2 linked regions of the Ovis aries genome follow. The protein of the gene in region 1 binds, or shares a complex with, the protein of each later gene. Links are inferred from orthologs where the notes say so. Each region holds a gene or a part of one and is shown on either strand. Other genes may lie near its edges. The genes, in order: TERT and DKC1.

Region 1 (3,801 bases):
CCCTGGGGCTGTCTGACCCTTGGTGTCCCCTTGGGGATGACCCCTGGGGCTGTCTGACCCCGAGTCCCCTTGGGGACGGCCCCCGGGGGCTGTCTGACCCTTGGTGTCCCCTTGGGGACGGCCCCCGGGGGCTGTCTGACCCTTGGTGTCCCCTTGGGGACGGTCCCTGGGGCTGTCCGACCCCGAGTCCCCTTGGGGACGGTGCCTGGGGGCTGTCTGACCCTTGGTGTCCCCTTGGGGATGACCCCTGGGGCTGTCTGACCCCGAGTCCCCTTGGCCATAGTTGCTCTGGCGACACTCCCGTCTGGGCTGGGCCCGCAGGTGCAGCATCTCAGCTCGCGGGTCAAGACGCTGTTCGCGGTGCTGAACTACGAGCGAGCTCGGCGTCCCGGCCTCCTGGGGGCCTCGGTGCTGGGCATGGACGACATCCACAGGGCCTGGAGGGCCTTCGTGCTGCCCCTGAGGGCCCGGGGCCCAGCCCCTCCGCTCTACTTCGTCAAGGTGGGCGCCCATCCCCACCCCTGTGGAGAGAGCCAGGGCTGCAGGTGACCCTGTGGGTCTGGTCCAGCTGATGTGGGAAGTGACCGCCTCCTACAGCCCCGTGTGTGCCAGGATGGGTCACCCCTGGTGGGGTCACGTCCATGTTAAACGTGACTCTCAGCTTCTGTGAGCTGCAAGACAGGGGCCCAGCTCCCGGGGCAGAGGCTCTGTGCCTCTGGAGTACTCTGGGAGTGCACCCCACTTCCCCGGGGCTCCTGCCCTCCCTCCAGGGAAGGAGACAGCTGCTCGGACCCTGGGCGGGTTGCCCTGTGTTGTGCCCTGGTCGTCAGGATGCCAGCCTGCAGCTCAGAGAGAGCATGCAGGCCAGTCCGAGGGGTGCTCAGAGTCCAGGGCAAGGGGAGTCTCAGAGAGAGCCCCCGGGGGGCAGGGATGGGGGTACAGGGTCTGCCCATCCCTCATGTTCAACTCACCCCAGTATTGGCTGATGGCAGGTCAGGACAAGCCGGACCCAAAACTCGGGGTTAGGGGTGAACGTGTCCTCAGGCCCCCTGTTCCCACATAGGCGGACGTGGTGGGGGCCTACGATGCCCTCCCCCAGGACAGGCTGGCAGAGGTGATCGCCAACGTGCTGCAGCCGCAGGAGAATACGTACTGCGTGCGCCGCTGCGCCGTGGTCCGCACCGCGCGCGGGCGCGTGTGCAAGTCTTTCAGGAGACACGTAAGAGCCACGGGGCCTGTGCAGTGCCGGGGGCGTGGCCTGCGGGGGCGGGGGGCGCACGCTCGGCACTGTGGAGCCGCGAGGACCACTCTTGCTGGTACTCCCATCCGGTCCGCCCCTGCCCTAGGCCTGACTGCACGTGAGTGGGGGACCCTGGCGGCAGCAGAGCCACACGGGTGTCCCGAGGTGTCCCCACGGCCACAGAGCAGCACCGTGTGTGCCCCGGGGCGGGGGTGGGGGTGAGGGCGGGGCGGGGGGGCGTCCTTCAGCAACTCCGAGGCTGCGCCGCCTTCTGCACGTACGTGCGTCATGGGGTGGGCGGCGGGGCCGCCTCTCCCCCCAACGATGGGGGCCTCAGGCCAGGAAGGGCTGGAAGAGGACGCGGGCGCTGGGTGGACCCCGAGGCCGCGGGGGCTGCTAGCGCTTGTCTCCTGCTCAGAGCAGCGTGTGTACCCGGAGACAGACGTGGGTGGACTCCCGGGAAGCGCTGGGGAGGGCGCACAGGAAACCTGGGCCCAGGCACCGCTGAGCGTGTTTGTGAGTCCAGGGAGTGTGATGCAGGGAGCTTGGGGGGATCTTGGATGTGTGGCACGGGTGGGGCAGCACCCAGAGGACGCCCCCCGGCCCCCCAGGCCTCCTCCTCCGACAGGCAGCAGGCTCACCTGTCTCTAACCTTGTGATGTGAAGCAAGCATGCTCTCCCTCCGGTCCAGTTTCGGGGGTCTGGGGCCCAGTGTGGCGGCCTCCGATGCTACCGGGTGAGGCCTAGCCTTCCGCCGGGTGGGCGTCTGCTGGTTCATGCCTGGATGTGGATCCAGGCGGTTGCCACCAGCCCTGTGATGCGCTGTTTGTGGAGACAAACCCTTGTCCCAAATCCTGTGGGGCCGATTCCAGGCTTGTGTCATTTTAGGAGACATCACCCGAGAGGTGCCAGGTGTGGTCCCGCGGGCCTCAGAGGGTCCAGCGGGCGGTGTTGGGGGCCCGGAAGGGCAGGGCTGCAGCCTGCAGCCAGGCCGCAAGGTGGGACCACACAGGCCCGTCTCTGGGACCAGGTCCAGGGGACCGGGCTCTGGGCACCTCGTGTGTCAGCCGCCCGGCTGGCACGTCCTCTGGGGGCACTGGGGGCGCCCGTCCAGTCTCCCCACGTGGGGCCGTCTGCCTCCTTTGTTGTCTGAGGGGATACGCCCACATTCTCGGGACAAGCCTCTGGGCACTCCTGGATGCTGTCTCAGCCTACCCTGCCTTTGCCGTTGCAAGTGGAGGCTCCGTGAACAGATGCTTTTCACTTTGACGGACCCAGCTTCTCTGCCTGAAACCGTGTTGCGCTTGCGCGGCCCGCCTGCTGTCCGCCTGACCCCTGCTCTGGAAGGACGTTTGTTATCCCAGCTGCCGCATTCAGGCGGGGCCGGTTTATTTTAATTAATTAATTAGGCTGCCCCAGATCTTAGTTCCAGTGTGGGGAATGAGTCCCTGGCCAGGGACCGAACACGGGCCGCTGCTTTGGGAGCTTGGCGTCCTAGCCACTGGGCCGCAGGGAAGTCCCTGGGGCCTGTTTTGAACCAGCTTGTGCACCGATGCTGCGATGTGCCTGTCTCTCCTCCAGTCTGGACTCCGCAGGCCTGTCTTCTGGTTCACGCGTCTGCCCTTCTCTGTCTCTAGTTTTAAACGCATCTAACCAGCCCTTAAGCTGGGCAGCCTGTTTTTCAGGTTTGGTTTTTCTCACAGGTTCCCGGTCTCTGGTTGACTGCCTCAGCTTTGCCTGTTGTGTGAGCAGTGTTATCTTGACTGATTTTAAAAATTCCAGAAACTGGCGCCTCCCCGGCCCGCAGGCAGTCTCCTCCTGTGTCTATCTGTCGTGTGAGAGGTTTTGGTCACACCTGGGCCTGTTTTTCCACAAAGCGCAGACTTTGAACGGGAGCCTTAACGGGTGGGCTTATGAGTCCTCCTCGGCGGGTGGTGTCTCCCCGACAGTGGCGCTGTGACCTGAGTCCTGCAAGGGTTTCTTGCGGACAGCGTGGCGTCTGGCCTGCCCCACTCCCCCTTCCCCGGTGTCCGCTGCAAGGGGCCCCCAGGCCCAGCCCCCTGGCTGCTAGGACTGCGTGCTCAGCTCAGCGTGGCTCCTGGGGTGCCTGAGTGAGGGTCCTTGCTCTGCAAGCCCCCCCGAGACGCCGTCAGTCCCGGCTGCTTCAGTTCAGTCCGGTCCCTCAGTCGTGTCCGACTCTTTGCGACCCCATGGACGGCAGCATGCCAGGCCTCCCTGTCCATCACCAACTCCCCGGAGTTCACCGAAACTCGTTCTTGCTGCTTAGTGGCCCTGAACCCCACAGTCTTTCTGCTCAGTGGATCCCGGCCTTGGGGAGAGGTCAGGGGGGAGGTGGGATGCACCCTGAAAACCAAGACCCCAGCCCGTCTGTGTCCACACCTCCCCGGCGCCCCCGGCGGCCTGGCATTTTCTGCCCGGTCACAGTGGCCGTGGCCAGCCCCCCAGACTCTGACCGCTGTCCTGAACACCATGCTGTCGGGGGTGGGGTGTCCACCCACTTCACCCTGTCCTCGGCCGGCAGGTGTCCACCTTCTCGGACT
Region 2 (4,545 bases), on another chromosome or scaffold:
TGCACTCAATATGCCAGCAAATCTGGAAAACTCAGCCACAGTGGCCACAGGACTGGAAAAGGTCAGTTTTCACTCCAGGCCCAAAGAAAAGCAATGCTAAAGAATGCTCAAACTTCCACAAAATTGCACTTATCTCACATGCTAGTAAAGTAATGCTCAAAATTCTCCAAGCTAGGCTTCAGCAACACGTGAACTGTGAACTTCCTGATGTTCAAACTGGTTTTAGAAAAGGCAGAGGAACCAGAGATCAAGCTGCCAACATTTGACGGATCATGGAAAAAGCAAGAGAGTTCCAGAAAAACATCTATTTCTGCTTTATTGACTATGGCAAAGCCTTTGACTGTGTGGATCACAATAAACTGTGGAAAATTCTGAAAGAGATGGGAATACAGACCACCTGACCTGCCTCTTGAGAAATCTGTATGCAGGTCAGGAAGCAACAGTTAGAACTGGACATGGAACAACAGACTGACTCCAAATAGGAAAAGGAGTACGTCAAGGCTGTATATTGTCACCCTGCTTATTTAACTTATATGCAGAGTACATCATGAAAAACGCTGGACTGGAAGAAACACAAGCTGGAATCAAGACTGCCGGGAGAAATATTAATAAACTCAGATATGCAGATGACACCACCCTTATGGCAGAAAGTGAGGAGGAACTAAAAAGCCTCTTGATGAAAGTGAAAGAGGAGAGTGAAATGGTAGTTTAAAGCTCAACATTCAGAAAATGAAGATCATGGCATCTGGTCCCATCACTTCATGGGAAATAGATGGGAAACAGTGAAAACAGTGTCAGACTTTATTTTTTGGGGCTCCAAAATCACTGCAGATGGGGATTGCAGCCATGAAATTAAAAGACGCTTACTCCTTGGAAGAAAAGTTATGACCAACCTAGATAGCATATTCAAAAGCAGAGACAGTACTTTGCCAACATAGGTCCGTCTAGTCAAGGCTATGGTTTTTTAAGTAGTCATGTATGGATGTGACAGTTGGACTGTGAGGAAAGCTGAGCACCAAAGAATTGATGCTTTTGAACTGTGGTGTTGGAGAAGACCCTTGGACTGCAAGGAGAACCAACCAGTCCATTCTGAAGGAGATCACCCCTGGGATTTCTTTGGAAGAATGATGCTAAAGCTGAAAATCCAGTACTTTGGCCACCTGGTGCGAAGAGTTGACTCACTGGAAAAGACTGATGTTAGGAGGGATTGGGGGCAGGAGGAGAAAGGGATGACAGAGGATGAGATGCCTGGATGGCATCACTGACTCGATGGACGTGAGTTTGAGTGAATTCCGGGAGTTGGTGATGGACAGGGAGGCCTGGCGTGCTGCGATTCATGGGGTCACAGAGTCGGACACAACTAAGCGACTGAACTGAAGTAGAGAAATTGAGAATTGTTTATAAAATTTGATAGCAGTCTCACATTGTTGCAAAATTTACCTGTATTCCACAAGTGTTGGGTACACTGGAAATTTAAAAGAAAACACAAAAAACAAAAAACCTCGGGTCTTCATCTCAACTACCTTGAGGAACACTGATTTAGGCAGCCTCATCTAGCCTTGCCTAAGTCCAGGATCCATTCTTAATCAACTGTTTAATACTCAGAAACAGTATAAAAGCCAGACATTGAGCTGATGCAAAACACATACCTTTAGCAACAGGGGCCACTGAGACGTGTCCAACTGAGCCACTTTGGATTCAGGTTTGATGAGAAAATCTTCAGCATGTTGTATTTCCTTCCAGAGGACAGAAACACAACTTGTTAAGACTCCCCACTTGAATCTGAACCCTTCCATTACAACCACCAAAGTCTATGCCTGTGCAATAAAAAACAAGGTGTCTATTCCTGTTCACTGAGATCTCCATAGGAAAGAGAAGAAATGAATGAAGAATTGAGAAAAATAAGTGAAGCGGCACCAAGACGGGAATAGCCAATTTAAGAGAAAAGAGGGATAGTGGGTCTGATAAGAAAGACAATTTCAGGGAAAGCAGTCACTGTGGGCAACACCATTTAGCAAAGTGTGCCTGACAGCAGAGACCTAGGCTGGATGGAGCTTTGTAGTTTCTATCTCACGATGACACCCCGTTCCTTCAAAATCTTTAGAAACACTTCTTTTCTGCAATCTGGCCTCTAAGAAACCTTTCTTTTGAGTCGGAGCAGAGTAAAAATATTCCTACTCACCGCCACAGCCTCCTCTGGTAATGATTTTCGCTCCTTTTTCTTCTTGTGTTTCTTCGGCAAAATAAGGACTTAAAAAACACACACAAGAATTGGGAGTTTTCCCCGAAAATCAAGGCGATCGAGTTGAAAATAGAGGACGCATCAGGGCAGCTGAAAAACGGCCGTCTGGTATAGGCTCGTAGGGAAAGCGAGGGGGGTCAGGCCAGTGCCCGGAGCGGCCGGGCGGGCTCGCGACAGCAGCCGCACGTTTCCCCCTACAGCCCGGTTCACCACGTGGCCGCGCGGGGCTGAAAGGCCCTCAGCCCGCAAGTTCCGTCAGGGACCGTCCGACGGTCCTCAAGGGCTTGGGGCCCCTAGAACTTCTTTTTCGCCTGGGAGCTCCGCGCCCGCCCGAGCCCCTTGGCCCCTTCTCTTCCCTTCCTTGCGCGGCGCTGACCACGGCGGCAGAACGGGGGAGCGCGACCCAGGCCCTGTCGGCGGGAGGCCTGGGCCTCATGGCGTCACGTCACCGCGGGGGCCTCTCAATCTCTCGCCCTCACCCCGTGGAGCCAAGGCCAAGCGACAAGGTCGGCAGGAGGCGCGGCGGCTGGAGCCAGCGGACAGTTCTAGCCTCGATGTCTGCCACCCCCCACCCCCGGCTCCCCCCGTCGGAGGTCGCGACCCGGGCCCGGCCTGCTAGCCACCGGAGAACCGCCCTCACCTTCCGCGTCCGCCATGTTGCCCCGCTGAGCTCGCGAGCCGCGTGGGCCACCACCGCCAAGGAAGCGCCTGCAGGCTCCCGCCGCCGTCAGGCTGCGCCGCTAGGCCCCGCCCACCTGTGCGCCGCCCCGTGCGTGTCGTGCAGAGGGGCGGGGCGAGGCGGCGCGGAGTCCCCGGCGCGCGCCTGCCGGCCGCACCATCTCATTGGCGGCCGCGGCGGCCCGCGCTCGCACCGCCGCGCGGGCGCCTTGGGCTTCGCCCCGCCTTCAGCGGGCCGGCCGGGGAACGCCTGCGCAGCCCACCTGGGCGGGGCTTAGCTGTGGGCGTGGCCGGGCGAATGTCTAGTCTTTCTCACCGGTTTTTTTTTTTAAGTGAAACTTGGGCCCACCAGTTCATTCTAAAGGAGATCAGCCCTGGGTGTTCTTTGGAAGGAATGATGCTAAAACTGAAACTCCAGTACTTTGGCCACCTCATGCGAAGAGTTGACTGGTTGGAAAAGACTCTGATGCTGAGAGGGATTTGGGGCAGGAGGAGAAGGGGGCGACAGAGGATGAGATGGCTGGATGGCATCACTGACTCTATGGACAGTAGTCTGACTGAACTCCAGGAGTTGGTGATGGACAGGGAGGCCTGGCGTGCTGTGATTCATGGGGTCGCAAAGAGTCGGACATGACTGAGTGACTGACCTGAACTGAACTGGGCACCTGGGCACGTGTCTCAGCTTTCCTTGCTTCCCCACCCCTGACCCTTCAAGGTGGCTGTCGGATCAGTCCCGATGCCAAAGTGAAGACAGACGTCGAGGCACATAGAGCTTTGCAGCTTCTAATTTTCATCCTGCTAGAGCGGCACTGCCCAATAGAAACAGAGTGCGAGTCCCTTGTGGACTTTTAAATTTTCCAACATCCACTTGAAAAAAAAAAAAAAGCAAAGTAGAAGGTTACATCGGTTTCAGTAACAGACTGTGTTTAACACAACGATCGGCAATATTATCGTTTCAGCATATAAGCAATGCACAACATTATGAATGACATATTTTACCTTTTTTTTTTTTTCTGTACCAGGTCTTCTGGTGATGCTTTCTGGTCACAGCACAGCTGGATTGCAGCTCCACTACGGGTCTCCTTGGGGTTCCCTTGTGGCTCAGCTGGTAAAGAATCCGCCTGCAATGCAGGATACATTAGTTCGATCACTGGGTGGGGAAGATCCCCTGGAGAAGGGAAAAGCTACCCACTCCAGTATTCTGGCCTGGAGAATTCCATGGGGTCACAAAGAGTCAGACACGACTGAGCGACTGAACTGAATGGGGCTCCAGGTGAAGTGATCAACACTCACAGGTCGCTCACCGCAGCAGTACTGGACTGCCAAGCAACTAGCGGCTCCAGGTTCCAGCTCTTTTCCTTCTTCCTTTCGTTCACTTCTCTTCTCACTCTTAAGTGGAGATTCTTACACCTATCCCCCATAGACTTGATTGATCTGGGGTTATTTCTTTATTGCTGTTGTCAATGGAATTTTTAGCATCATCTTTTCTAACAAGCTGCTACTGACAGAAGAGGACAACTATGGCTCTTCTTCTATTTCCTCCTGTGCCATCCAAAGATTAGGAATTTTTCCATTTTATTTGTGTCTTAAAATATATGCAGTGACAGGTTTCCTCTTTTGGTGAT

What was found.
Region 2: TERT (region 1) and DKC1 share a complex: the UniProt entries of both Homo sapiens proteins name them as parts of the telomerase holoenzyme complex. The link is inferred for Ovis aries from reciprocal best matches to the Homo sapiens genes TERT and DKC1.

What each region holds. Positions count from the first base shown.
Region 1 is NC_056069.1:71,196,944-71,200,744, forward strand, and holds part of TERT (telomerase reverse transcriptase), read left to right. Parts: intron 1-321; coding exon 322-501; intron 502-1,063; coding exon 1,064-1,219; intron 1,220-3,782; coding exon 3,783-3,801. UniProt on the Homo sapiens protein: Telomerase is a ribonucleoprotein enzyme essential for the replication of chromosome termini in most eukaryotes. Active in progenitor and cancer cells. Inactive, or very low activity, in normal somatic cells.
Region 2 is NC_056080.1:81,268,849-81,273,393, reverse strand, and holds the start of DKC1 (H/ACA ribonucleoprotein complex subunit DKC1), read right to left. Parts: upstream 2,985-4,545; 5' UTR 2,899-2,984; coding exon 2,883-2,898; intron 2,251-2,882; coding exon 2,183-2,250; intron 1,737-2,182; coding exon 1,650-1,736; intron 1-1,649.